3 linked regions of the Anolis sagrei genome follow. The protein of the gene in region 3 interacts with the protein of the main gene of each other region in a pairwise test. Links are inferred from orthologs where the notes say so. Each region holds a gene or a part of one and is shown on either strand. Other genes may lie near its edges. The genes, in order: CDKN2D, PRDX4 and NR4A1.

Region 1 (10,551 bases), about 30 Mb from region 3:
GGCTCTGTTTGTGTGTGTATTTGTGTGTATGCACCCTTCTTATCTTATAATGCCACCCCATTCCCCCTCTTGAAAGATTTTGGGTTGTTGTTACCAAGCTCCTTCTCTCCCCCCCCCCCCCCGTGTCCCCCTCCCCCCACTCAGTTCCCCATTTGTAATGTGAGAATTGCAGCTGACTACCTCTTGTTACAAAGACGAGTGACAAAAAGTTACTACTTCCCTGTGCCTTTAGACCGCAATGAGCTATAAATGTAAGAGGAATAAATTAATACTTTTAAATGAGGGGTGTGTGTCATTGGTCTACATGGAGTCCCGTCCCCACTCCCCATTGGCTTTTCTGCTTAAACCTGGCTCTAAAGGCAAGACATGGCACGGGTGACTTTGGCTCCTGTGCTGCCCAGTTCTCACAATAGCCAAACTGGTTGCTTCCCATGTTTTCTTAACTAGCCTCGATGAGTAACATCAAAACTGGCAGCATCTGGTCTGTTCTGCAAATTCGGGAGTAGCCTCCAAGATGTGCAGGAGAGCCTCTCCCGTACAGACACTATTCCACATCCAAGATATTTATTTATCATGTCAGGAGTAAACCAAACAGTTGTATTGCATTTTTAACAAACAAACAAACAAAACACAAAGTTTGCAAGCTTGGTAGTTGATTAAATGTCCTTTGACCAGTAGCTGGCCACTTGGAGTGTCTCTCTACAAGAAGGTCCTCCATTGTGCATAGAGCAGGGCTCAGGTTGCATTGCAGCAGGTGGTCTGTAGTTTGCTCTTCTCCACACTCGCATGTCATGGATTCCACTTTGTAGCCCCATTTCTTAAGGTTGTCTCTGCATCTTGTGGTGCCAGAGCGCAGTCTGTTCAGCGCCTTCCAAGTCGCCCAGTTTTCTGTGTGCCCAGGAGGGGAGTCTCTCATTTGGTATCAGCCATTGGTTGAGGCTCTGGGTTTGGGCCTGCCACTTTTGGACTCTCGCTTGCTGAGTGCCTCTGTAGATCTTGCTTGCTGAGTGTCTCTGTGTTCCAGCGAGTGTCTCTGTAGATCTTAGAAAACTATTTCTTGATTTAAATCGTTGACATGCTGGCTGATACCCAAACAGGGGATGAGCTGGAGATATCACTGCCTTGGTCCTTTCACTATTTGCTGCTACTTCCCGGCGGATATCAGGCGGTGCAATACCGGTTAGAAACGACCAGAAGCTACATCCAAGATGAAGGGTTAGAAGGCATGATCATCAAATTTGCAGACGACACCAAATTGGGAGGGAGAGCCAATACTCCAGAAGAGAGGAGCAGAATTCAAAACAATCTTGACAGATTAGAGAGATGGGCCAAAACTAACAAAATGAAGTTCAACAGGGACAAATGCAAGATACTCCACTTAGGCAGAAAAAAATGAAATGCAAAGATACAGAAAGGGGGGCACATGGCTCAAGAACAGTACTTGTGAAAAAGATCTTGGAGCCCTCGTGGACAAGTTAAACATGAGCCAACAATGTCATGCAATGGCAAAAAAAAAAAAAAAAAAAAGCCAATGGGATTTTGGCCTGCATCAATAGGAGCATAGTATCTAGATCCAGGAAAGTCATGCTACCCCTCTATTCTGCCTTGGTTAGACCACAACTGGAATAATATCATAATACATGCTAAAACATTTAAACAGCATAAAACACAACAAAGACAATAAAAACAACACCATTAGCATCTCCTTATTATCAAGCATTGTCCAGTTCCATTGTCAAGTCATCAGATTTCTTATGTCAGTTACCTATATCTGTTACTCTGCATTTGTAAACGCTTGCTCAAATAGCCATGTTTTAATTTGCTTCCGAAATGTTAAGAAGGAAGGAGCAGATATGATCTCTCTAGAGAGGGCGTTCCATAGCCGAGAGGCCGCCACTGAGAAGGCTCTGTCTCTCATTCCCGCGAGACGTACTTGTGACGAAGGCGGGACCGAGAACAGGACCTCCCCGGATGATCTCAAGGTCCTCGATGGTTCATAAGGGGAGATGCGTTTGGACAGGTTTAAATTATTCTGGATCATTTTACGCTAATTCAGATATGACCCCAAATTTCTTATATAACGTTTAGTATGGGAGTCAATTTTACTCTTGATCTTTTATAAATAATATTCCAATATCCCAAATGTCTTTCATCTCAAAAGCTGCCCATGAAAGAGAAAAAAATGTGGAATCAGTATGAAAAATCAGTGTGTGAATCTCTCATTCAGATGGCAAATCAAACATTGAAACCAGCCACTACATACCTGGTAGCAATGCTTGGAACACAAAACAACTATTAGGGAGACTGTAAATCACATAGTTGGCCTTGTGTCTTTTTGATTTCAAAATACATTTTAAATTTGAGTTTTCGCGGAACAGACTTTAGGAACGGTGTCCCCCCCACCCCACATGATACAACATTCCTGCAAGGAGCTGATTTTAACAGGAGGAGGAGGAGGAAGAGGAAGAAGAAGAAGAAGAAGAAGAAGAGGAGGAGGAGGAGGGGGGAGGGGGAGGGGGAGGAGGAGGAAGAAGAAGAAGAGGGGAAGAGGAGGAGGAGGTGGAGGAAGAAGAAGAGGAGGAGGAGGAGGAGGAGGAAGTGGAGGAGGAGGAGGAAGAAGAAGAAGAAGAGGAGGAGGAAGTGGAGGAGGAGGAGGAAGAAGAAGAAGAAGAGGAGGAGGAGGAGGAGGAAGTGGAGGAGGAGGAGGAGGAGGAAGAAGAAGAAGAAGAAGAAGAGGAGGAGGAGGAAGTGGAAGAGGAGGAAGAAGAAGAAGAAGAGGAGGAGGAGGAGGAGGAGGAGGAGGAAGTGGAGGAGGAGGAGGAGGAAGAAGAAGAAGAAGAGGAGGAGGAGGAGGAAGTGGAGGAGGAGGAGGAGGAGGAAGAAGAAGAAGAAGAAGAAGAGGAGGAGGAGGAGGAGGAGGAAGTGGAGGAGGAGGAGAAAGAAGAAGAGGAAGAAGAAGAAGAAGAAGAGGAGGAGGAGGAGGAGGAGGAGGAAGAGGAAGAAGAAGAAGAACAACAACAACAACAAGGTCATTAATAACACACATACACACACCACCAAACACCAATATGATGCCAAAGTAAACTGCAGTAACAAGGTGAGAGGAGAGGTCACTGTATTCTCAAGAGATCTAAGTTGGTAACTGCCTTAAAGTCGACTTCAACTTCTGGTGACCCCATGAGTGACCCTTAAGTCACCCCATCCTCAACAGCCCTGCTAGGAGCCCCCAGTGGCGCAGTAGGTTAAACCCTTGTTCTGGCAGGACTGCTGACCGAAAGGTTGGTGGTTTGAATCTGGGGAGCAGGGTGAGCTCCTGTATTCAGCTCTAGCTTCCCATGCAGGGACATGAGAGACGTCTCCCACAGGATGGTAAAACATCCAGGCGTCCCTTGCAGATGGCTAATTCTCTTACACCAGAAATGACTTGCGATTTCTCAAGTCACTCCTGACATGGAAAAAAAAACAGCCCTGCTGAGATTTTGTAGTTATAGTGTTCCTTGGTTGAGTTTCTCCATCTGGAATGCGGTCTCCTCCTCCTCCTCCTCTTGTTTTGCTAAGCATTATTGCTCGCCAGATGTCCCACATGTTATGGGATTCCCGTGACACATATCATCCTAAGTGATGTGTTCAGCTGCATAGGAACCCAGCAGGACAGCGACCTCTGAATGCAGAAGTGGAAGTGCCATCTGCAAGGCTTCCAAAGGGAGGCAAAAGTCAGGCCTTGAGGGATGGGCGCTGCTGTACACACACATCCAATGGGCCAGATCCTTGTAGTGGTACCATTCTTTGGGGACAGGAGTTTCTGAATCGCAGTGTGGTCAATTATGGTAACTGGAAAGATCTGGAGCGGGGAAGCTAACCAGAAGTCCAAAAAACAATACAGATTTAATTAATCCAAGTCGCCTATCCCTGGCCCCCTCTACACTGCCACACAAAATCCATATTATCTGCTTTGAATATTAGGCCCTTTTTACACAGCCCTTCTATCCCAGGATCTGATCCCAGATTATCTTCTTATCTCAATATGGCAGTGGAGACTTCAAAGCCGGTAGCCTGCTGTTGCAGTGGGTTAAACCACTGAGCTGCTAAGCTTGTTGACTGAAAGCTTGCAGGTTCGAATCCGGGGAGCGGTGTGAGCTTCCACTGTCAGCCCTAGCTTTTGCCAACCTAGCAGTTCGAAAACATGCAAATTTGAGTATTATAGAATCATAGAATCAAAGAGTTGGAAGAGACCTCCTGGGCCATCCAGTCCAACCCCCTGCCAAGAAGCAGGAATATTGCATTCAAATCACCCCTGACAGATGGCCATCCAGCCTCTGTTTAAAAGCTTCCAAAGAATGAGCCTTCACCACACTCCGGGGCAGAGAGTTCCACTGCTGAACGGCTCTCACAGTCAGGAAGTTCTTCCTCATGTTCAGATGGAATCTCCTCTCTTGTAGTTTGAAGCCATTGTTCTGCGTCCTAGTCTCCAAGGAAGCAGAAAACAAGCTTGCTCCCTCCTCCCTGTGGCTTCCCCTCACATATTTATACTTGGCTATCTTATCTCCTCTCAGCCTTCTCTTCTTCAGGCTAATCATGCCCAGCTCCTTAAGCCGCTCCTCATAGGGCTTGTTCTCCAGACCCTTGATCATTTTAGTCACCCTCCTCTGGACACATTCCAGGTTGGTGGAGGCTCCTTCTTTGAAAGCTTTTAACAGAGGCTGGATGGCCATCTGTCAGGGGTGCTTTGAATGCAATATTCCTGCTTCTTGGCAGGGAATTGGACTGGATGGCCCATGAGGTCTCTTCCAACTGATTATTTAGACAAGCTTTGCTCTGAAAGAACTGGGTGGATACGTTAAATTCTATGTCCCCATATGATTCTATGTCCCTGCACGTGGAGCTGGAGCTGACAGAGCGAGCTCACCCGCGCTCTCCCCGGATTTGAACCTGTGTGGTCTTTAGTCCTGCCGGCACAAGGCTTTAACCCACTGCACCACGGGGGGCTCCTTGGAATGTGTCCAGAGGAGGGCGACTAAAATGATCAAGAGTCTGGAGAACAAGCCCTATGAGGAGTGGCTTAAAGAGCTGGGCATGTTTACCCTGAAGAAGAGAAGGCCGAGAGGAGACTAGGACGCAAAACAATGGCTTCAAACTACAAGAAAGGAAAAACTTCCTGACTGTGAGAGCCGTTCAGCAGTGGAACTCTCTGCTCCGGAGTGTGGTGGAGGCTCCTTCTTTGGAAGCTTTTAAATAGAGGCGGGATGGCCATCTGTCAGGGGTGATTTGAGTGCAACATTCCTGCTTCTTGGCAGGGGGTTGGACTGGATGGCTCATGAGGTCTCTTCCAACTCTATGATTCTATAATTATCTGATTGTCTGCCTTGATATCCCGGGTTATATGTCTGTGTGGAAGGGCCCTGAGTCTTCAATGCCAGATTATTTGGGATTGTAGGGATAGATCCGACCTGGGAGCTGGCTTCAGTCCTTTGCTCCTTCACATCCAGGGCGAGCTATTTTAAGAAAGTCACTCCCGCCCCCTCCCTTTTTCTCCTCAGGTCGTGACCCCTCGGCGGAGTGGAGCGAGGGAGGGAGAGGGGGGAAAGCCAGGAGCGCGCCTCTTCCCGCCCGAACCTGCGTTTGAATCGCGGAGGCCCGCCCAGCCGTCCGCCTGGGGAGAGCCAATCAGGAAGCGGGAAGCGCCGGCTTCTGCCCGGAGCCGCTCCCTCATTGGCGGCGCGCGGGGGAAAGGGGCGTGTCCAGGGGGCAAGTTACAATGTCTCCCACGTCGAGGGGAGGAGCGAGACGGGAGGGGGCAAAACAACAAACAGCGCTTGGGCACGTGTGGGCGGGGCCATGAGGAAGGAGAGGGGACAGAGAGAGAGAGGGAAGGCAGAAGGGAAGGAGAGGCAGCCCTGCCGGCCGCTTGCCCTCCTAACGCCTCGCCTCGGAGAAGCCCCGCCCTGAGCCGGGCGAGCCCCTTCTTTGCGCCGCCCTGCCCTGCCCTGCCTGCCCGGCATTCCCGTCCGCCGCCTGCCAGCCAGCGCGATTCCTGCCTCGTCTCCGTTTGACAGCGCTGCCAAGGAGGGAGCTCGGAGGTAGGCGCCCAGGAAGGGGAGGGCAGGGCAGGGCAGGGGATCTGCAGAGGGCCGCCTCCCCCCTCCTCCTCTCCCTCCCTCCCGCAGTGCTTGGGGATGCTGCGTGCCCAGCCGGGTCTCATCCCTCCTTTCTCTGCCTCCAGGCGCCTCGGCCTCTCCCGTGGGGGATGCAGCCGGGCGGCGCCGAGGTCCGCGCCGGGGACCGCCTCACCAGCGCTGCCGCCCGAGGAGACCCCCAGGAAGTGCGCCGCCTTCTCCGGGAGGAGCTCCTCCGGCCGGACGCCCGAAACCGCTTCGGAAAGACCGCGCTGCAGGTACGCACTCCAGCCTTCCCACACCTGTCAGGATTTAGTATTCTTATTCTTATTCTTATTATTAAAGGGTTAAAGCCTCACAGGTTCGAATCCGGGGAGAGCGCGGGTGAGCTCCCTCTGTCAGCTCCAGCTCCCCATTGCGGGGACATAGAATCTAATGTACCCACCCAGTTCTTGTGGGTTAAAGCCTTCAGCCGGCAGGACTGAAGACCCACAGGTCACAGGTTTGAATCCAGGGAGAGCGCGGGTGAGCTCCCTATGTCAGGTCCAGCTCCCCATTGCAGGGACATAGAATCTAATGTACCCACCCAGTTCTTGTGGGTTAAAGCCTTCAGCCGGCAGGACTGAAGACCCACAGGTCACAGGTTCGAATCCGGGGAGAGCGCGGGTGAGCTCCCTCTATCAGCTCCAGCTCCTCATGCGGGGACATGAGAGAAGCCTCCTACAAGGATGATAAAAAATCCGGGGAGAGCGCAGGTGAGCTCCCTCTGTCAGCTCCAGCTCCCCATTGCAGGGACGTGGAATCTAATGTATCCACCCAGTTCTTGTGAGTTAAAGCTTTGTGCCGGCAGGACTGAAGACCCCACAGGTCACAGGTTCGAATCCGGGGAGAGGGCGGGTGAGTTCCCTCTGTCAGCTCCAGCTCCCCATTGTGGGGACATTGAATCTAATGCATCCACCCAGTTCTTGTGGGTTAAAGCCTTGTGCCGGCAGGGCTGAAGACCCACAAGTCACAGGTTCGAATCTGGGGAGAGCGCAGGTGAGCTCCCTCTATCAGCTCCAGCTCCTCATGCGGGGACATGAGAGATGCCTCCCACAAGGACGATAAAAAACAAGCTAGTTACTAATAAATGGTTGTCTTGACTGAGTCACACACTCAGCCTCAGAGAGCCCCCGGTGGCGCAATGGGTTAAACCCCTGTGCCGGCAGGACTGAAGACCGACAGGTCGCAGGTTCAAATCCTGGGAGAGCGCGGGCGAGCTCCCTCTGTCAGCTCCAGCTCCCCATGGCGGGGACATAGAATCGAATGTATCCACCCACTTCTTGTGGGTTAAAGCCTTGTGCCGGCAGGACCAAAGTCCCCACAGGTCACAGGTTTGAATCCGGGGAGAGCACAAAGTGAGCTCCCTCTGTCAGCTCCAGCTCTCCATTGCGGGGACATAGAATCTAATGTATCCACCCAGTTCTTGTGGGTTGAAGCCTTGTGCCGGCAGGATTGAAGACCCACAGGTTGGAATCAGGGGAGAGCGCGGGCGAGCTCCCTCTGTCAGCTCTAGCTTCCCATGCGGAGACATAGAATCATATGGGGACATAGAATCGAATGTATCCACCCAGTTCTTTCAGCTTGTCTAAATAATCAGAGAATCCTAGAGTTGGAAGAGGCCTCCTGGGCCATCCAGTCCAACCCCATTCTGCCAAGAAGCAGGAAATTTGTATTCAAAGCACCCCCGGCAGATGCCCATCCAGCCTCTGTTTGAAAGCTTCCAAAGAAGGAGCCTCCGCCACACTCCAGGGCAGAGAGTTCCACTGCTGAACAGCTCCCACAGTCAGAAAGTTTTTCCTTTCTTATAGTTTGAAGCCATTGTTCTTCATCCTAGTCTCCTCTCAGCCTTCTCTTCTTCAGGCTAAACATGCCCAGCTCTTTAAGCCACTCCTCATAGGGCTTGTTCTCCAGACTCTTGATCATTTTAGTCGCCCTCCTCTGGACACATTCCAAGGAGCCCCCGGTGGCGCAGTGGGTTAAAGCCTTGTGCCAGCAAGACTGAAGATGCACAGGTCAGAGGTTTGATTCCAGGGAGAACGCGGATGAGCTCCCTCTGTCAGCTCCAGCTGTACCGCCTGTGTATGTAACCACCCTATCCAAGAAATCATGTTGGACATCAGTTCAGCTGCCATGGCTCAATGCAATGGAAGAATTAAATATGCAGTTTTACAAGGAGTTTAGACTTGGACTGCTTCCTCACCAAACTACAAATCACAGAATTCAACAGTATTGAGCCCTGGCAGTTCAAAGTGGTGTCAAACTGTATTCATTTCACACTCTAGACTAGGGGTCCGCAAACTGACTTGTGGGCCAGATGTGGCTCTTCAAGATCCTTTACCTAGGGTCACCCAAAGCGACTTGAAGACACACAACAACAATCCTAATTAATTTGACTCTCTCATTAACCAAAAAGAGCTCCCGATGGTGCAATGGGTTAACGCCTTGTGCCGGCAGAACTGCTGACCAACAGGTCAGAGGTTCAAATAAAATCACACATTTTGTGCTTTGAACTGGAATATAGGGCAGTGTGGACTCAGATAACCCAGTTCAGAGCAGAGATTGTGGGATTTTTCTGCCTTGTTATTCTAGGTTATATCTCTGTGTGAAAGGGCCCTGAGTCCACACTGCCATATAACCCAGTTCAATGTGGATTTTATAAAACCATGTGGAAGGGGCCAAAGCCATCTATATAAATAAAAATGTAATGTTAGTTTGTGGGATTAACATAACTCAAAAACCACTGGACAAATAGACACAAAATTTGGACGCAATACACCTAACAGTCCAACAAGTGTCCATCAACCCAAAACACACACACACACATAAAACCCCAGCAGAACAGACTTAAAAACCCGCAAAATATATCATATATACATATACAAATACACTCATGTACACATGCACACATTCATACACACACACATATATATGCACAAACACACACAAATATACATATATACACATGCACACATACATGCACACTTACATATATTCATATACATGTACATACACATATATACACACAAATATTCATATAGACAAATACACGCATATACACAATATGCATGTAAACATTCATACACACACGTATATATATGCACAAACACACACAAATATACACACATACATATACATACACACATATATAATACACATGCACACACAAATATACATATATACACATGCACACATACATATATACAGATACACATGCACACACAAATATACATATATACACATGAACACATACATATATACATATACACATACACATATATACACACAAATATTCATATAGACAAGTACACACATATACACCATATGCATGTAAACATATAAATACACATATATACACAAATATATACACACACATATACACACACAAAACACATATACACAGATGACCACAGCAACACGTGGCAGGGGATGGCTAGCAGAAAAGACTTAGAAAGACAAAAACCAGAAATTACATTACAACGCATGCACAAAACCACATATATACACATATACACAAATATTTTATTTTGTTGTTGTTGTTGTTATTATTATTATTACATTTATTATTTTATTATTGTTGTCATTATTACATTTATTTTACTCTATTTATTATTGTTAATGTTACATTTATTATTTTACTGTATTGTTATTATTATATTTATTATTTTGCTCTATTATTACTGTTATTATTACATTCCATTATTTTACTCTATTATTATTATTATTATTTTACTCTATTTTTTATTATTGGAGGACCTGTAAGCATATTCACTTTGAAAAAGGTTAGAATAATGGTTTAATTAGAGTTGGACAGTCTTATCTTGAATTACAGTTTTATGTAAATATTCAAAAACATTTAACCTAACGATGCCTAAATTAATATAATGTTATTGGTATCTATTTTTATTTTGAAATTGACCAGTAGCTGCTGCATTTCCCACCCTTGGCTTATACTCGAGTCAATACATTTTCCCAGTTTTTTGTGGTAAAATTAGGTGCCTCGGCTTATATTCGGGTCGGCTTATACTCGAGTATATACGGTATATTATTATTATTATTATTATTATTATTATTATTATTATTTTCATTGGATCATAGAATCATAGAATCAAAGAGTTGGAAGAGACCTCATGGGCCATCCAGTCCAACCCCCTGCCAAGAAGCAGGAATATTTCATTCAAATCACCCCTGACAGATGGCCATCCAGCCTCTGCTTAAAAGCTTCCAAAGAAGGAGCCTCCACCACACTCCAGGGCAGAGAGTTCCACTGCTGAACGGCTCTCACAGTCAGGAAGTTCTTCCTAATTGGGCCGCATTTCTATCACTTTCATTGAATGAGAGAATGGTAACATCTTCATACATTGCCAAAGCAAGGGTCACTATGAATATGTCTTTGACT
Region 2 (10,397 bases), on a different chromosome or scaffold from region 3:
GATCAGGGGAGTTCCGTGTGCCAAGTTTGGTTCAATTCCATTGTTGGTGGAGTTCAGAATGCTCTTTGATTGTTGGTGAACTATAAATCGCAGCAACTACAACTCCCAAATGACAAAAATCAATCCCCCCTAACCCCACCAATATTCAAATTTGCGCTTATCGGGTATTTGTGCCAAATTTAGTCCAGTGAATGAAAATACATCCGGCATATCAGATATTTACATTACGATTCATAACAGTAGCAAAATTACTTATGAAGTAGCAACAAAAATAATTTTATGGTTGTGGGTCACCACAATATGAGGAACTGTTTTAAGGGGTCGCAACATTAGGAAGGTTGAGAAACACTGCCCGAAGGTGAAACTATCACAGAAAATGTGTATATCTTCATAGCACAACTAATTGGAATATATTGTTAGAAATATATTTGTGCAGTGCTGTCCTATATATGCTTATTAAGAAGTAAGGCACATTGAGTTCAAGGGAATTGCATTATTAGTGCAACATGCTTAGTGAATTAGTCTATGTGTATTTGGTACAGTGGCAGCTTATGAATGGATCTGTTCTGTATCTGCCCTTTTAAATTATTTTCTAAAAGTCCTCCAATATCTAATGGTTGGTTACCACATAAAATGAATCTTGAAGCAGTTTACAGTGGAAATTGATAGCTTTTGTCTATGGTCTAATAATGTAGACACTCAAAAAAGGATCTATCAAGCAGACATTTCTATTGCTAATTTTGCCACTTCCTCAACCAAATTATTCTTGGCAGCAACTGATGTTCTTTGCATTGCTTTCCCTAGCAATTTTTACAAACTAAAAATATAGTGCCATTGCTCCTCAAAAGACAGTAAGTTTCTAGAAACAGTAGCGTATATTCATTCGTTGTAGTAATAAGTAGCACAAGATGTATTTTGTCCACTTCAAAATGCCTTCTTAGGCCAACACATTTCCTAGTCACGAAAAGAAATGTTTCCCGTCCAGTATCTGAACAAGCTCTGTCTCCCCGCTCTGCACTTTCAAACTAGTCAGCTTTGCATGACGTGTCCTTTTCCAAAAGTTCTTATCAACGTAGGCAAAGAAAGCAAATACTTGGAACAAAGATGGAGCTGCTACTGGTCATTTCCACCCCGCTATGGCTAGAGGAGGGGGGGGGGGGGAGAAGGGCTTTTTAATGCTTGCTTTTTCAGACAGATGAACCTTTTTGGCTTTTCTCTGCAGCTCTTTTTAAAAAGGGGAACTCACAAAGCCACATACGAATAGCCTGTGGTGATGTATACAAAACAGATTTGTGGTGACATAAAATGCCTCTGGGTATTGCCTAAGAAAATCCTGTGGAATTCATGGGGCCACCAAAAGCAGAGAGACATCATGAAGGCACACACAAAAGAAGGCAGGACAATTTCTGTCACAAGAGATCTGTCTGTTAGTCATTTCAGTCTCTGTGCAAGCCTGTATTTTTTGCAATTGAGCAACGCAAGCATCATCTCTTGGAATCAAAAGAACAAGTTTGAACACCCTGATTTTCTTGCCTCCTCAGAATGTCTCCAAAAACCTGAGTAGGGACACGTCTGCATATCTCTATTTCCAGAGGTTTTTCCACTCATTTTCTCCTGCCCAGCAAAGGAACAAAACCGATAGTCTGAAGGTGCATCTACACTGTCAAACGAATGCAGTTTGATACCCCTTTAACTGCTCTGTACTGTGGCATTCTGGGATTGTAATTTGGTGCTCAGGTCTGCTCTTTGGCAGACCTTGTAAAACTACAAACCCTATGATTCAATAGCACTGGGCCATGGAAGTTAAAGCGGTGTCATTCGGTATGAAATGGACAGTGAAGATGCACCCTGAGTTGTGTGAGAACTCATTACTCCTGTGTGGGCCAAAAGTCACAAAAGGGTCCCAATATTACAGAACTCATTTATGCTGTGTTTTCATATTCACAATACCATTTGAAAGACACCTTTGAAAGAAGGAATTCTAAAAGGTTTAAATTGTATTATTTTAGCTCTGTTAGCCACTTTGAATCCCCCTCAGAAGATGAAAGCATGATATAAATAATTATAATTATAATTTTGGGCCCACCCTGTATTGATGCTGAGTTTTGAGAGGGCCTATTGCTATTAATACCAGCACAAGTGCCCAGTACTAATACTGAGTTGTGAGAGGACTTAACGGCTATTTGTGAGAGGGCTTTGCTATTAGTACTAATAAAAGGGCCCAGTATTACTACTAAGTTCTGTGAGGATGCGGTACTGTTTCATTATCTGGAACACAAGGGTCCAACATTAATACTGAGTTGTGAGAGGACTTATTGCTATTAATGCTAACACAAGAGTACAGTATTAATATTGCATTGTGAAAGGACTAAGTGCTATTAATACTAACACAAGGACTCAGTATTAATACTGCGTTGTGAGAGGACTAAATGCTGGCTGAATCTACACTGCTCTATATCCCAGGATCCGATCTCAAATTATCTGCTTATCCCAGACTATCTGGCAGTGTAGATTTATGTAATTCAGTTCAAAGCAGATAATATGAGATCAGATCTTATAGAGCAGTGTAGACCCAGCTGCTATGAATGCTAACACAAGGGCTCTCAGCATTAATGCTGAGTTGTGAGGGGACTTATGGCTATTTGTGACAGGGTTTTGCTATTAATACTGACACAAGGGCCCAGTATTAATACTGAGTTCTGTGAGAACTTATTGCTATTAATACTGACACAACGGCCCAGTATTAATACTGAGTTGTGAGAGGACTTAACACTATGGATACTCCCCTTCAATACTAACATAAGGGCTTAGTATTGAGATGTGAGAAGACTTAATGCTATTAATGCTAGCACAAGGGCTCAGTATTAATACTGAGTTGAGGACTAAATTCTATTAAAACTAGCACAAGGACCTAACATTAATCCTGAGTTGTGAAAGGACTAAATGCTATTAGTACTAGCACAAGAGCTCAGTATTGATACTGAGTTGAGAGAGAACCAAATGCAATTAATATGAACACAAGGGCTCAGTATTGATACAGAGTTGAGAGAGCACCAAATGCTATTAATATGAACACAAGGGCTCAGTATTGATACTGAGTTGAGAGAGGGCTTTGCTACTAGTACTAACACAAGGGCTCAGTATTGATACTGAGTTGAGAGAGGGCTTTGCTACTAGTACTAACACAAGGGCTCAGTATTGATACTGAGTTGGGGGGAGAGCTTTGCTATTAGTACTAGTACAAGGGCTCAGTATTGATACTGAGTTGAGAGAGGACTAAATGCTATTAATACGAACACAAGGGCTCAGTTATGATACTGAGTTGGGGGGAGGGCTTTGCTATTAATACGAACACAAGGGCTCAGTATTGATACTGAGTTGTGAGAGGACTAAATGCTATTAGTACTAATTAAATGCTATTAGTATTAATACTGGGATGTGAGAAGACCTCTTGCTATTAGTAGTAGCACAAGGGCCCAGTATTAATACTGAGTTGTGAGGGTTTTTGCTATTAATGCTAACACAAGAGCTCAGTATTGATACTGAGTTGAGAGAGGGCTTTGCTATTAACACTAACACAAGGGCCTAGTATTGATTCTGAGTTGAGAGAGGACTAAATGCTATTAATACTAGAACAAGGGCCTAGTATGGATACTGAGAGAGGACTGAATGCTATTAATACTACAAGGGCCTAGTATTGATACTGAGTTGGGAGAGGGCTTTGCTATTAATACTAACAGAAGGGCCTAGTATTGATACTGAGTTGAGAGATGGCTTTGCTATTAATACAAGGGCCTAGTATTGATACTGAGTTGGGAGAGGGCTTTGCTATTAATACTAACAGAAGGGCCTAGTATTGATACTGAGTTGAGAGATGGCTTTGCTATTAATACAAGGGCCTAGTATTGATACTGAGTTGGGAGAGGGCTTTGCTATTAATACTAACAGAAGGGCCTAGTATTGATACTGAGTTGAGAGATGGCTTTGCTATTAATACTAATAGAAGGGCCTAGTATTGATACTGAGTTGGGAGAGGGCTTTGCTATTAATACTAACAGAAGGGCCTAGTATTGATACTGAGTTGAGAGATGGCTTTGCTATTAATACTAATAGAAGGGCCTAGTATTGATACTGAGTTGGGAGAGGGCTTTGCTATTAATACTAACAGAAGGGCCTAGTATTGATACTGATTTGGGAGAGGACTAAATGCTATTAATACTACAAGGGCCTAGTATTGATACTGAGTTGGGAGAAGACTCATTACTGCTAGCACAAAAGGGAAGCACCGAATCAGCCACAAATGAGGAAAAGCGTGAGGGGGGGCGGGCGAGGAGGGGTTTAGGCGGGAAGAGGCCCAGCTGGCTCTCCTTCCCTTCGCCTCCCCCCCCCCGCGGGGTCTCCATGGCAACCTACTCTTGGCCTTGCTGAGGTGCAGCGAGTGGTCCGTGACATGGGCCCTGCCCGCCTCGCCCGGGTACACCTCTCCCCCGGCGTAGTAGTGGCACTTCTCGTCGCCCCAGCCCTCCGCTTCATCCGGCGCCGAGATCATGGCCAGCAGCAGCACCAAAGACAGCCGGAAGACAGCCGTTAACGGTCGCCCCCGGGCCGCGGGGCCGTCGCTCGCTCGAGGCTCCATGGTTGCCTCGGGAATGGATCGCGCCGCACGGGAAAGAAGGCAGCTGCAGGCCCCGCGCGGGAGGAGGAGGAGGAGGCGGAGGGGGAGGGGGAGGGGGAGGAGGAGGAGGAGGCCGCCCAGGCTGGGGGCGGAACCCAGGACCGTCCCCCTGAGGGAGGGAGGGAGGGAGGGAGGAGGAGGGACGCAGAGGCCTCGCCCTCCGCCCCCTCCTCCTCCTCCTCCGCCCCTCACGTTTCGCTCCTGCCTTCATTATTATTTCTGAGTTCTGCCCCTTTTTTGACCCTGTGAGGGTCGAGTGTTCCACTGGTCCTGTGGTGACCCTCTTTCAGGTTCAATTATGTATACCTCAGATGTTTAAGGCTAGACGTGTTTGGGATTTCGGTTTTGGAATAATTGCAGTACACCACCTATGGGCAAAGTTGGGTCCTCCCTCCAGGTGTTTTGGACTCCAACTCCCACCATTCCTCGTAGCCTCAGTCCCCTTCCTTTTATTTTATTTATTTTATTTATTTCAGTTACTTCTACCCCGCCCTTCTCACCCCCGAGGGGGGACTCAGGGTGGCTTACAAAAAAGGCACAATTCGATGCCTGTGTCAAATATACATACATACTTAAAAGCAATTAAACAGTTAAAAGGTTAAAATCATCAGTATATAACACAATAGTAAACAATCTCATGCTCAGTGTTCAGAGTTCCATAAATCCATTCCGTTCGGTCAATTCCTGCCCATCATCGAGGTGTTTCCTTAAGCTGCCAGAATGTCCAAAAGCCTGGTCCCACATCCAGGTCTTCAATTTTTTTCTGAATGAGAAAAGGGAAGTCGCTGATCTAATCTCCCCGGGGAGTGAGTTCCACAGGTGAGGGGCCATTACTGAGAAGGCCCTGCTCCTCGTCCCCGCCAGCCTCACTTGTGATAGAGGCGGGGTTGAGAGCAGGGCCTCCCCAGAAGATCTTAGACTCTGAGGTGGGATGTAGAGGGAGATCCGTTCGGACAGATACACTGAGCCGGAACCGTATAGGGTTTTGTAGGTCAAAACCAGCACTTTGAATTGTGCTCGGAATTGGATCGGCAGACAGTGGAGCTGACACAACAGGGGGGTGGTATGCTCCCTGTATGACGCTCCGGTGAGCAATCTGGTTGCCTCCCGCTGGACTAGTTGGAGTTTCTGAGCAGTCTTCAAAGGCAACCCCACGTAGAGTGCGTTGCAGTAACCCAATCAGGATGTAACAAGAGCGTGGACCACCGTGGCCAGATCCGACTTCCCAAGGTACGGGCGCAACTGGCGCACAAGTTTTAATTGTGCAAAAGCTCTCCCGGCCACCACCAAGACCTGGGGTTCCAGGCTCAGCGATGAGTCCAGGATCACTCCCAAGCTGCGAACCTGCGTCTTCAGGGGGAGTGTAACCCCGTCTAACACAGGCTGTAATCCTATGCCCTGTTCGGCCTTACGACTGACCAGTTGGACCTCTGTCTTGTCTGGATTCAGTTTCAATTTGCTAGCTCTCATCCAGTCCGACACAGCAGCCAAACACCGGTTCAAGGTCTGGACAGCCTCCTTGGTGACAGGTGGAAAGGAGTGACAGATTTGGACATCATCTGCGTAGAGATAACATCTCATTCTGAAACTCCAGATGATTTTTCCCCCTCAGCTGCTTAAGGGTTTTGGGGGGGGGGGGGATGAGTTTCGGGGGGGGGGGGGGCTGAGTCTAAGAGGGTCTACCCTAGCAAACCTTTTGTATCATTACCTCAATACCCCCATGCATATGGGATATATTGAGTATGGTGATCAGATCATGATATGAATAAACATAACAGTTTAAATAATGTACCAGTAAGGCCTTTTCATAGACCACCATGAGAATTTCGGGGGGGGGGGGGTGTGTGTTAAGCCCCAACCCCCCCTCCCCCCCCCCCCCCCACCTACATGCCTGCCTCAAAGACAAGGCAACAATGCTTTGCAGGAGTCTTAACTTTCTATCCACTTTCTATCATTTTTCCCTGTCCTGTTCCTATATGTATCAAATACATATTAAATGTATCAGCTATATGATTTCTGCAAAAGTAAACCACAGGAGTCTTCACTTTCCTGCTGACCCCACTGAGGGATTTCCCGGACAGAAGGAGTTCCCCAGCTGCCCCAGACCAAGGTGACAGTCGGTACCCACTGTGTGAACATGTGAATCAACAGATGGTTTCTGCTCTTGATCTGATAAGCACCAGTTGATATTTGTTCAACCAAATGTCCCACTTGAGCTCAGAGATCACTAACCATAAAGACAAAGACTCACAATATATACCCAAGTCTGGACCCTGTTGCAAAAATCACCATCCTTTGTTTCAGGGATCCTGGACATTTGACTATCACAACCCCATCTTTATCACCCAAAGCTGGACTATTATGATAGAAGCCCCCTAAGTCCTCCTGATATGATCACAGGAACTTCCTGGGGCTATCTCCTCCCAGAAGGTCTTTTAGTCTTTAAAGCAGCAAAAATAAGCTTATTTCCTCCTGAAAATGTGATCCTTTCAAATGTTTAAAATAGCTAGCATACCCTCTCTCAACCTTCTCTTCTTCAAGTTAAACATACCCTGCTCCTTAAGCTACTTCTCCCAGAGCTTAGCTTTGACATTTTTGTTTCCCTTCTCTGGATACATTCTAGCTTGTCAATATCCTTCTTGAATTGTGGTGCCCTAAACTGGACACAGTATTTCAGGTGACGCCTGACCAATGCAAAGACTGGGACTGTTTTCTCAATCTAGACAATAGTGTATAGTTCTTGTTTTTGTTTTTGTTTTAAATTAATTTGCTGAGATCTAAATAATTTGCAACATTGTCACAATTGCATATACACAACAACATAGTATTATTTTTACCCCATATAACACAGTCTATTGATTACATTCTATCCTTTACAGATCTATACATCTATTACTTATCTCTATCCACCTTTCTTCCTCCCACCTCCCTCTGGGAACAGTTATGACTCTATTCATTGGTTTACATTGTTTGTTCGGTCATGGAGATTATTTGGTTCATTTTATTGTCCTTTCTCTTTCTCTCTGGCTATAAGCTCTTTCCACTTCAACTCCCAGTCCTCCTTTGGATGACCATTCATTTACTTTGTTCTCCTTTCAGTTATGTAATCTTGGAACATATACTCTGATAAATATTCAAGCCATTTTAAAATTTCCCACTTGCCTTCATCTTTTCATCCTAAGGCAACTGTTGCTTGGGTACTATAGTACTTGTGAAGCATTCTAAAATAACACTGGCCTTTTAAAACTGCTGTATCACACTGCTGATTCATGTTAAGCTTGTGGTCTACTAAGACCCTAGATCGCTTCTATTGTAGTGCTGTCAAGCTAGCTTTCACCCATTCTTTTTTCTGTGCATTTCATTTTTTTTCCTGCCTAATGTAGTACCTTATCACTCTTTATTGAGCTTACATGATGAAATTGTGCCTGTATGAGGACCAGGACTTGGATGATTTAGTACATAGTGATATAACGATAATACTGTTACTTGTGTGCCAAAAATAAATTTGCATACATAAATGCCTACACTGATGTTTAAGGAAGATAGGAATAGTTTGATTGCTCACCTATATTACTCTTTAAAATAATTTGAAAAGTTGATCTATTCCATTACTAGCTCTTATGTGTTAGAGCCATATGGTACTGTACTTGCTAGCATATGGTAAAGCAGCAAGATTTTTAGTGCCACATGACTGGTCCTTAAATTCCATCTAGCAAAAGTTGTTGCTTGAGCTCTAACAGAGGACAGCATTACATCTTTCCTGAATTTTAATGAATAAAATATGTTATTGTCAAAGGAGGGCTTGGTTATGCATTTTTCTTTATTATGTTGTTGCTGTCAGTGCTTCTTTGGTCCTGACATCCTCCTGGGCCTTTCTGAAGATAACATTTATTTTGTTGTTTCCAGACTTGAATCTCATTTAGTTCTCCTTCATCTCAATCATAAATCTGCATGTGGTAATCTCCTGGCTTATTCTCATAGAGTTTTCCTTCATCTTTATCATAAGTCTACATGTGGCAATCTCCTTGTTTACAAAGCACCTGTATCAGCTCCTCAGTTCAGCATCATTTGATTATCACATTCTCAAGCTAGCTTTCTTAATAGCCACAAATATTAGAGCAAGTGAAATGTGTACCTTAGAGTGGAACAGCCATATCTTACCTGACACACAGAAAAGGTAGTGCCTAGGCCTATCTTAGATTGTGTTGGTTTTCCGCCTAGCTTGTTAGGTAATTCTTCTGTTGTATTTCTTTGGCACTTCTTGATGTCCACAGGGCATTGGCCCTCTATACTGACTGAATCGTACCTTTCCATGCCACCCAGCTGTTGTTTGTCTGCCACGAGCAAAAGGAAGGCCAGCCCTTGTTGGCCAACCCATACAAATATTTGCCAAGTAGATTGAAAAAAAAAGTAATATGTTAGTCTCCAGAAAGCTAGCTAAGTTGGAACTTCCTGTATTTCTCCATCATCACTCTTTGAGAGACATTGCTGCTTTGACCATCTTTTAAAGAAGTGCCAGAGCTTTGTTGAGGGAGGATTACTTGGATTCAGTCCTACACTTTAATTCAGATAACAGAGTTTGTTGAAGGACTCTTATTCATTGAGACACCATATGTCAAAGCCAACTTGACAGCAAGTAACATCAAAACTACTTTGATGCTTATGCTGAAGCAAATGAGACATTTGGAAGATCCATACTACCATCAGTTTCTTCTCTAATGTATCTCTCGTCTGTCTCATGTGATAAATTTGCTAATTGGTGTTCACATGTGTGATGCATTGGGACCACAAGAAGAAAGACCATTCAATCACTCTATTACAAGCAGTCAGAAAAACGGTGGTAGTGAGGATTGAATGCACAAAGGGGGCCAGTGGTATTATTTATACAGCTGATAGTACCTAGTTTTGCTTATACAGTTCTTGCTGTTAGATTCATTGCGTCACATGATGATACCAGGCTGGCTTAGTGGTATAGGGCAGACTTTTGCTCCCTGCAACCTGTCATCTGAGGCCTGAGGTGGTCACCTTACTTTGTTTGTCAATAAGACTAGCTCTGGCATATTTTCATTGGCAGTGTCAGAAGCAATCCATCTTAAAATACTAGAAACATTGTGTAAGGGGCAAGGATTTCCCACTTTCACACCTAGGAACATACAGTCATTGGACAAGCTTAGCTAAAGCAAGGCAAAAGTTTTAATAGCAGATGCTCCATAAATGCAAGTTATCTATCCATGTGAATGTCTATGGAGTTTTTGAATAAATTGGAATTGTTTTCAGAAGCAACTACTGTGTTATCCCAAGGTAGTTAATGTTTCAATAGGTGGCAGTGTTCTCTTATTTTTATATTTAGATGGTAGATTTTAGAATAAACAAAAACTGAGATAATAGACAAAACAAAACAAAAAAACCCCCACCAAAACTGGATTGTTTGTCTATGGGAGGCTGTTTTGAAGATTGGAAATTATAGCTGATTCAGAATACCGCTGCTGTTGTCCAATTGAATAATTGGCTCAATTGCCATTTAATCTACACTGATTTCTGGTGTAAACTCTCCCATTAAGAAGGAAGTGCTTGTTGCTTTTTTTTTTTAAGCTTTAGATGATTTTTGTGGGGCTGGGTTATCTGAAGGACTCCCTGCCTGTTAAAAGTGGCTGGGGAAGATCTATTCATCTTGCTGCCATATGCTTGCTGAGAATGATAGAACATAGCTTCTTAATGGGAG
Region 3 (10,060 bases):
GGTCACAATTTCCCCTATTGTAGGGACAGCTAATGCTTGATTTTCACTCCTTGTAAAAAGAAATATAGTACAATCACTTCTCCACGTTCACTGGGATAAGCGGCACGGGACCCTTGTGAAAGTGAAAAACCATGAATAAAGAAATTGCTATTTTTATTATAGGCAGCTCTGGTGGCGTACAGGGTTAAAGCACTGAGCTGCTGAACTTGCTGACCAAAGGGTCGCAGGTTCAAATCCGGGGAGCGCCATGAGCTCCCACTGTTAGCCCCAGCTTCTGCCAACCTAACAGTTTGAAAACATGCAAATGTGAGTAGATCAATAGGTACCATTCTGGCAAGAAGGTAACAGTGCTCCAAGACGTCATGCTGGCCACATGACCTTGGAGGTGTCTAAGGACAATGCTGGCTCTTCGGCTTAGAAATGGAAATGAGCAGCAACCCCCATAGTCAGATTTTTTTTTTGTCATGTCAGGAGCAAGTCGCTTCTGGTGTGAGAAAATTGGCCATCTGCAAGGACATCGCCCAGGGGATGCCTGGATGATTTGATGTTTTTATCATCCTTGTGGGAGGCTTCTCTCATGTCCCCGCATGAGGAGCTGGAGCTGATAGAGGGAGCTCATCCACCTCTCCCCGGATTCGAACCTGCGACCTGTCGGTCTTCAGTCCTGCCGGCACAGGGGTTTAACCCACTGCGCCACCGGGGGCTCCCCCATAGTCAGATACAACTGGACTTAATGTCAGGGGAAAACCTTTACCTTTATTGTTATTATAGGAGATAACACCTCTCTACGAATTACTAGGTCTTGCAGCATACTATGGCCAATTTTCACTGGAAGCTAAATATGCAATTGCACTGGGGGACCTAGAAATTTCTAGCGAGATGAAATCTCTAGACCGTCCAGCATGACTGGAGGAAATTGACTACAGAGTCACATTGGAGGACTTAATAATCTTAGAGAGAACATTTGTCATCACAAGTTGATAATCACATCTGCAAAAGTCAAAACCACAAATGTGGAGGGATGACTGCAATGCCATTGCAGGGATCTATTTCTAAACGAACATCCTCTGGAAGGTGCAAGACACAACTCCCATCTTTATGTGAGCAGTTATGTGATCCCTTTTGATGGAGGTCAGAAAAGGGGGAGGGAAGAGATATGTTGGCCCACATAGCTTTAATATTTGCATTACAAAGGGATTTTACTCACTTTAAGCTTCATGTGCAAAAATGCAATCTTTGTAAAACTGCAGACGTTTGGAACAAGCCTGGATTTGGGAGATTAGTGCAAAATAAGAATCTCGTGATCTTGGAAGGTCGCCGCCAGTCCTCCTCTTGGCTGGGTCCACTCTCAGAGCCCTTCCACACAGCCATATCACCCAGAATATCAAGGCAGAATAAACCACAATATCTGCTTTGAACTGGAATATCTGAGTCCACACTTCCATATATCCCAGTTCAAAGCAGATAATGTGGAGTTTTATTCAGCTGTGTGGAAAGGGCTTCAGAAAAAACACATAAGATAATAACCTCTCTTTCCCAACAGTCACTAGAGTATATTTAAAGGCACAGGTGGCAGTCCTGCCCATATTTTTCCCCATCCAACCAGCCGCTCTTACCTCTGTTTACTAAGGGTGTATCTACACTACGGAATTAATGCAGTTTGACACCACTTGAACTGCCATGCCTGGGATCTGTGGATTGGTAAATTACCAACACTCTTTGGCAGAGAAGGCTAAAGAACTTGTCAGAATACAACTCCTAGGCCCTTTCCACACAATAAAATAAATAAAATCCCACATTATCTGCTTTGAACTGGAATATATGGCAGTGTGGACTCAGATAACCCAGATCAAAAAGGATATTATGCGATTTTCTGCCTTAATATTCTGGGTTATATGGCTGTGTGTGTGGAAGGAACCAAAGCACTGAGTCATGGCAAAGTGGTGTCACGCTGCATTAATTCTACAGTGTAGATGCACTGGGGGGGGGGGGATACTAGATTGAGTTTAATGGCATTCAAAACAGCAGCCTCACAACACAATCCCAGTACCTTTACAGAGAAGTAGAATAGCAGTAGTGTACCATATGTCTTAAGTGCTTAATGGTCAACATTATACACAGTTTTTTGGAAGGAAGCCCAGTTGGACTCACTGAGATTAATGACACATTGGACTGTACTTCCTGTCTGCATTAAAAATACTTTTCAACCTGCGTTTCCTATACTCAGAGATAAGCCTCGCAGCACTGAATGCCACTGACTCCCAAGCGCGGGGGGGGGGGGGGGGGTTTGAGGTTTGCAGCCATGTACTTTTGGGGTGTGTGTGCTATAATCATAATAATATACTTTATTTATATTACACTCTATCTCCCCGAGAGGACTCAGAGTAGATTACAGTACACATATACGGAAAACATTCAGTGCCATTATACAATTAACACAGACAGACAGGACATAAACAGAGGTAAAGGCTTCCCATTTTTTTCCATCTCCAGCATCTGGAGGCTGTGCTTGACACCGGCCATGGGAGGTGCTGTTGCTCCATCTTCCATTCTGAGGAGCTTTGTTGTCTTTAGACGCTCTCCCAATTGAACTGCTGGCATGTCCGCATGGCGTCATTTATTACCTCCCCGCCAAAGCGGTACCTATTTATCTACTCACATTACTGTTTTTGAACTGCTAGGTGAGTGGAAGCTGGGCTGATGGTTGGGAGCTCTCCCTAACCCAAGCTTGAAGAAGTCCAGGAGGTCACAACCGGCAAGATTTTCTGTGGCTGGTGGTTTAACCCGCTGTGCTAAAGCCCAGGTTGTTGTTGCATGCCTTCCAGTCGTTTTCAACCAATGGTGACCCCATCATATTATTCTGTGTTTGTATATTTTAATATATATTTTATAGAAATACAATTTAATATATATCTTTTATAGAAATATATCTTAATGTGTGTGTGTGTGTTTATGTGTTTTGGAGCCCCTGGTGGTGTAGCGGGTTAAACCATGAGCTGCCAAACCTACTGGTGAAAGGTCCGCGTTTCGAATCCGCGGAGCAAGGGGAGCTCCTATTGTTAGCCCCAACTTCTGCCAACCTAGCAGTTTGAAAACATGCAAATGTGAGTAGATCAATAGGTAGCACTTCTGTGGGAAGGTAACAGCGCTTCATGCAGTCATGCCAGCCACATGACCTTGGAGGTGTCTATGGACAATGCTGGTTCTTCGGCTTAGAAATGGAGATGAGCATCAACCCCCAGAGTCAGAAACAACTAGACTTAATGTCAAGGGGAAACATTTACTTAACTTTTATGTGTTTTAATTATGCTGTAACTGCCTCGAGCCACAAGGAGAGGCGGGTAAGGAATTAAATTATTATTATCATCATCATCATAGGGGTTTCTTTGCAATATGTGCTCAGAGGAAGTTTGCCCTTGCCTTCCTCTGAGGCTGTGGGTCCTTCCAGATAGGTCCTTTATCCCAGGATCTGATCCCACATTTTTTGTTTATCCCAGATGATCTAGCAGTGTGGACTCATATAATCCAGTTTAAAACAGAAAACCTGGGATCAGATCCTGCGATATAGGGCCTGTCTGGAAGGGCCCTGAGAGAGAGAGAAACCACTTCTGAATATTGCTCTCCCAAGAAAACCCTATCAAAACTCAGTGGACAATAGGCAGCAAGTACTGGCTGCATCTACAGAAGGCATGGGCCAACTTCGGCCCTCCAGGTGTTTTGGACTCCAACAATTCCATACAGCCTATGATCTACAGTGTAAATGAATGCAGTTTGATACCACTTTAACTTGCAATGGCTCAGTATGTCAGATCCTGAGAGTTATTTATTTATTTATTTATTTATTTGCGACATTTATATGCCGCCCTTCTCAACCTGAAAGGGACTCAGAGCAGCTTATAAGATATATATACATTTTGTTGTTGTTCATTTGTTCAGTCGTCTCTGACTCTTCGTGACCTCATGGACCAGCCCACGCCAGTGCTCCCTGTCGGCCGTCACCAACCCCAGCTCCTTCAAGGTCAGTCCAGTCACTTCAAGGATGCCATCCATCCATCTTGCCCTTGGTCGGCCCCTCTTCCTTTTGCCTTCCACTTTCCCCAGCATAATTGTCTTCTCTAGGCTTTGCTGTCTCCTCATGATGTGGCCAAAGTACTTCATCTTGGCCTCTAGTATCCTTCCCTCCAGTGAGCAGTCGGGCTTTATTTCCTGGAGGATGGACTGGTTGGATCTTCTCTCAGTCCAAGGCACTCGCAGAACTTTCCTCCAACACCACAGCTCAAAAGCATCGATCTTCCTTCGCTCAGCCTTCCCTAAGGTCCAGCTCTCACATCCGTAGGTGACTACAGGGAATACCATGGCTTTGACTAGGCGGATCTTTGTTGCCAGTCTGATGTCTCTACTCTTTACTATTTTATCGAGACTGGACATTGCTCTCCTCCCAAGAAGTAAGCGTCTTCTGATTTCCTGGCCACAGTCTGTGTCTGCAGTAATCTTTGCACCTAGAAATACAAAGTCTGTCATGGCCTCCACATTTTCTTCCTCTATTTTCCAGTTGTCAATCAGAGTTGTTGCCATAATATACAATAGTATATTATTAGCATAGTACAGTATCAATATTATAAGGTAAAGGTAGTCCCCTGACATTAAGTCCAGTCATGTCTGTTCCTAGGCAAGACTTCTTTTAACACAGACTTTGGTACCAGAGGTAGACATAACATGGAAAGAACATGCTATATTTTAGCTGTATTTTAATACTCTCTACTATTTTATGACTGTGAGCCATCTTTAAGGTTCAAAAGGCATGTCACAAACCTCTTACATAGGTAAAGGTAAAGGTAGTCCCCTGACATTAAGTCCAGTCATGTCTGACTCTGGGGTGTGGTGCTCATCTCCATTTCTAAACCGAAGAGCCACCATTGTCCGTAGACACCTCCAAGGTCATGTGGCCAGCATGACTGCATGGAGCGCCGTTACCTTCCCCCCGGAGCGGTACCTATTGATCTACTCACATTTGCATGTTTTCGAACTGCTAGGTTGGCACAAGCTAGGGCTGACAGCGGAAGCTCACGCCGCTCCTCAGAATCGAACCTGCGACCTTTCGATCAACAAGCTCAGTAGCTCAGTGCTTTAACCCACTGCGCCACCCTATTATATATATTACTAATATATATAATATTATATATTATATATATAATATTATATATTACTAATATTGTACTACACCATTATATTGTAAATATTACATGTAATATAAAATATACAATTATAACATTGTATTAGTAGTAGTAGTGTTATATTGTATTCCATTATAATATTACCAATATTATATGTATATACAATATATTATATTATATTTTTAGTAAAGCACAGGAGACAAGATGGAACAAGTTGTCGTTTGCTGTCTCTCCAAATCGTTGCAATCCATAGCACTGAGCCTTGGCAGTGGAAGTGGGGTCAAACTGCATTCATTCCACAATGTAGATGCACTTACTGGCACGAGGGGATAGAAGGCACTTACCTTTTGTGATGGGCCATAAGAGAGGGGGGGGGGGGAGGGAGGGAAGGGGTTGGGTCCCTCTTAAAGGCGCCCCTTCCCTTTCCTCCACGCTTTCGCAGGAGGGAGGGGGCGAGGCCTCGGCTTCCGCTCGCCACAAGCCCGAAATAGGCTCGCCCGGCTCTGGCTGGATGGAGGCGGGGGCGGAGAGCCTCGCGCTTATTCCGCCGGGCGCGCGCCTGCCTATTTTTAGCCCCCATTGATGGCTGGGATTCCGACGACGTCAATGGAGCTCGGCGTTGACGTCACGGAGGCTGCTGGCCGGGCCCGGGAGAAAAGGGGCGGGGCTTGCGGGAAAGCACTCACTAAAGCGGCCGGCAAGGAGCGCGCGCTTGCAAAGAGCGCTGAGAGAGCAGCCGCAGAGGGAAGGATATCCACGAAGAGAGAGAGTGAGAGAGAAAGCGAGTAGCCACCGCGGGGGACGGGTCCCCGATGGCGCCCAGGCAGAGACGGAGCACCTCCAGCGCCCAACAGGTGAGCGCCATCCCCTGTTTTGATTGGCTAACCTTCCAAGGAATGAATGCAGTTTGACACCTCTGTAATTGCCACCACTCAATGATCTGGAATCCTGAGAGTTGTTAACTTGTAGAGGCACCAATATTCTTTGGCAGAGAAAGTTGGGAAACTACAAGTCCCAAGACCTATATAGTATTTAGCCATGGCAGTTCAAGTGCTCTCGGGTGGATCAAATCTGCAGTGTAGATGCAAGCCTTACTCTTCGGGACTTGAAGCCTTTAGCAGAGAAAGTTAAAGACCTTGGGAAACTACAATTCCCAAGACTGTATGGTATTGAACCATTACAGTTCAAGTGCTGTAAGGCTGGATTCAATCAACAGTGTAGATGCAAGCCTTACTCTTTAGGACTTGAAGGCAGAGTTTTTCTTTGACAGAGAAGGTTAAAGACCTTGGAAACTACAAATCCCAAGACTATATACTATTGAACCATGACAGTTCAAGTACTGTCAGGCTGGATCAAATCTGCAGTGTAGATGCAAGTTTTACTTTTTTGGGACTTGAAGCCAATTTTTCCATTTGGCAGAGAATGTTAGAGACCTTAGGAAACTACAAGTCCCAAGGCTGTATAGTATTGAACCATGGCAATTCAAGTGCTGTCAGGCTGGATCAAATCTACAGTGTTAGATGCAAGCTTTAATCATTGGGACTTGAAGCCAGTGCTTCCCTTTGGTAGAGAAAGTTAAAAACCTTGGGAAACGGCAAGTCCCAAGACTGTATAGTATTGAACTATGGGAGTTAAAGTGCTGTCAGGCTGGATCAGATCTACAGTGTAGATGCAAGCCTTACTTTTTCTGGGACTTGAAGCCAGTGTTTCTCTTTAGCAGAGAAGGTTAAAGACCTTGGGAAACTACAAATCCCAAAACTGCATAGTATTGAACCATGGCCACTCAAGTGCTTTCAGGCTGCAGATCAAGCCTTACTGTTTGTAACTTGAAGCCAGTGTTTCCCTTTAGCAGAGTTTTCTTGGGAAACTACAAGTCCCAAGACTGTATGTATAAATTTATTATTATTTATTAATGTATGATCTTTCTATCCCACCTTTCTCCATCCCAGATTTGACTCAAAGCAACTTTACACATAGGTGACTATTTGATGTCTTGAAACAATGGACAATTAAAATAAACTTTTAAAAATAGAATTATAAAACACATTAAGACAATTAAAAACATTTAAAACACTACAATAAACCCCTAAGAATTCATAATTTTGATTTTCTTTGTTTCTGTCTCCAGCTCCCATCTAAATAGTTTATAATGAGAGGGGGAATTAGCATTATTTTTCCAAACACCTAATCATTAAAAACAGTTAGACATGAGTTGCATATGAAATGGCGAACACAGGTGTTTATTAACATGTATCATAGCCATCATATAATGCAAACAGGTTTGCCAGTGTTCCGGTGGAATAGTATCTTAGTCCTTCTCCTCTCCATATGCTAAAGTGCATCTTCAAAACAATGTGAAGTTCTTTAAAGGAGAGGAGGGTGGAGGCTGTTTTTATTTCTTTAGGGAGGGAGTTCCAGAGACAGGGAGTGATCACAAAGAAGGTCCCCTCTCTCGTTCCCACCAACAGAGCTTGATTCAGGGGTGGGACCAAGAGCAGGGCCTCCTCCACTGACAGCAGTTCACAGGATGGTCTGTATAGGGAGATATGATTGGACAAATAGCCTGGACCCAAACCGTTTAGGGCTTTATAGGTAAATGGTGAGATTTGGGGGTGCACATAGTATCCCCTCCTTTACTAGATTCTATTGGCTTGTCTGTTGAATAAACATGCAGGACTAGGATCTGTGTTGGTTGGGAGTTGATCTCTCTCAACTACGGGAAAAGACTGGTGCTTTCTGCTATACCAGGCATGGGCAAACTTTGGCCCTCTGGGTGTTTTGGACTTCAACTCCCATAATTCCTAACAGCTGTTGAAGTCCAAAACACCTGGAGGGCTGAAGTTTGCCCATGCCTGCCCTAAACAGACATTAGACCTCTTCTAGGCGGTTATCCCTTTCTGTCTGGAATTTGCAAAGCCCAAGATGTTTTTAAAAAATATATTGGAAGAGTTTTCCAATCTAAATAGTTGAAAATGTTTTGCCTCCCACTCCTGTGTACAAATGGAAATGTTCAAGTACAGCTGGTTTTGTTCCTCTTCCATCAGAATTGTTCCTTGCGCCTGCCTTGGCATCAGGTAAAAATTGACCCATGTCTGGATGTTTTCCAAAGGTGGAAGCTGTGTGCCTCGGTTGGACCTGAAACAAGTGTTGCGGTTGACAGATTTCACACAGCACAATGTTTTGTGGAATATGATATGCCTCCTCAGATTCTCTGAATATTAATTGAAGCAAAGATGTGCAAGCTGTGGGTCACATGATAATCTATGAAGACTTTCGCATTTTGATCTTTCCCAGCTAAAAAACATACCAGATCACCACAAAAAAATCCCCCCTTAGGAACCATCTGTATTTGGACCGATTTTCAGAATCATAAAGGAGGTATCATTTTCAGTCATGTTGGGACTTGAGTCACCATATGGCTTCCATCCCTTCCACAGTTTCCCTCCTAGGATCTAGATCAGTGGTTCTCAACCTGTGGGTCCCCAGGTGTTTTGCCCTACAACTCCCAGAAATCCCAGCCCGTTTACCAGCTGTTAAGATTTCTGGGAGTTTAAGGCCAAAACATCTGGGGACCCACAGGTTGAGAACCACTGATCTAGAGCTTTGAGTATGATGCACACCCCACACACCTGTAAATATGCACCCACACACCCACATGTGCATACATGGCCAGAAGTCGGAAGTTGGAATTTAAGACCAAAGTGAATTTATATACATAATATACTGACAATAACAATTACATCTGTATTAACATTGCCCCTTCCCAGTATTGCATTCCCTAGACCTGTATTCCCTAGAACCCAGTATTGCATTCCCTAGAACCCAGTATTGCATTCCCTAGAACCCTATTGCATTCCCTAGAATCCCTAGAACCCAGTATTGCATTCCCTAGACCCAGTATTGCATTCCCTAGACCTGTTGCATTCCCTAGACCTGTTGCTGTAGGCAGATAGTTGTGTCAGTGTGCAAAGATCAACATATCTGTTCACTGTATTCACCATGTCATGGGTTTATCTCAAGGAGCTAAATGGCACAAAGGCCCTAAATACTGTCCTATCATGGAAGCTAAGCAGGGTCAGCCCTGCTTGGTACTTGGATGGGCAATCTTCAATGAATACTAGGTGTTGCAGGTTATATTTAAGTGGAGGGAGCTGACAAAGCCACCACTGAATAATCCTTCCTTGCCTAACAGAATCTATGAAATCTCCATAAGTCAACAGGACAGCTGAAGGCACACACACACACCTGTATTTACACTTACTACTTTCCCCTCTCTCTGATGTATTTCCATGTGGCATAAAAACAAATCCCTAGACGACCCAAACTGTGTTGGTTGGCTTAAACCATCACTTGTTCAACCTGGCCTTCTGTCAGCTCAGAAGTAAATCTCACTAGATTTTAAAGAACTTGCTCTCAAATAAATATGCGTAGTGATTGGCATGCCAAAATAATCTTAAGGGGTTTTGTTTTTGTTTTGTACCTTCCAAGTTATTTCTGACAAATGGTGCTCCTATCTAATGCTGTCTTGGAAACATCTGTTCAATTGAGGTTTGCTTTTGCCTTCCTGAGGCTGACGGAGAGTGACTTGCTCAGGACAACTCAGTGGATTTCCATGGCTGATCGGGGATTCGGATCCTTGTTTCTGGAGTGATATTCCATCTCCCAAAACACTACACCATGCTGTCTTTTGGAAATAAGTCACACTTGATTCATTTGGGTTTGCTGCACAGAATCTGTGTTCAGAGCTGCAGCCTTTGAATGCCAATTGCAAAGGGGATACAGTAGATTGCTTCTTGGTTGGCTAACAAGCCATAGTCTCCTTTGCAACCTGTTTTTTTCCCCCTGCTGGAATCAATCACAGTTCTTTTGCCATATTGCTCATTTAA

What was found.
Region 1: the proteins of NR4A1 (region 3) and CDKN2D interact in binary tests that used the Homo sapiens proteins (3 or more experiments, as listed by UniProt). The two-hybrid records come from large-scale screens. The link is inferred for Anolis sagrei from reciprocal best matches to the Homo sapiens genes NR4A1 and CDKN2D.
Region 2: the proteins of NR4A1 (region 3) and PRDX4 interact in a two-hybrid assay, tested with the Homo sapiens proteins (2 studies listed by BioGRID and IntAct). The link is inferred for Anolis sagrei from reciprocal best matches to the Homo sapiens genes NR4A1 and PRDX4.

What each region holds. Positions count from the first base shown.
Region 1 is NC_090022.1:169,538,283-169,548,833, forward strand, and holds the start of CDKN2D (cyclin-dependent kinase 4 inhibitor D), read left to right. Parts: upstream 1-5,810; 5' UTR 5,811-6,077; intron 6,078-6,220; 5' UTR 6,221-6,244; coding exon 6,245-6,391; intron 6,392-10,551. UniProt on the Homo sapiens protein: Interacts strongly with CDK4 and CDK6 and inhibits them.
Region 2 is NC_090023.1:86,841,004-86,851,400, forward strand, and holds the start of PRDX4 (peroxiredoxin-4), read right to left. Parts: upstream 4,723-10,397; 5' UTR 4,637-4,722; coding exon 4,414-4,636; intron 1-4,413. UniProt on the Homo sapiens protein: Thiol-specific peroxidase that catalyzes the reduction of hydrogen peroxide and organic hydroperoxides to water and alcohols, respectively.
Region 3 is NC_090022.1:139,196,597-139,206,656, reverse strand, and holds the start of NR4A1 (nuclear receptor subfamily 4immunitygroup A member 1), read left to right. Parts: upstream 1-5,926; 5' UTR 5,927-6,028; intron 6,029-10,060. UniProt on the Homo sapiens protein: Orphan nuclear receptor. Binds the NGFI-B response element (NBRE) 5'-AAAGGTCA-3'. Binds 9-cis-retinoic acid outside of its ligand-binding (NR LBD) domain.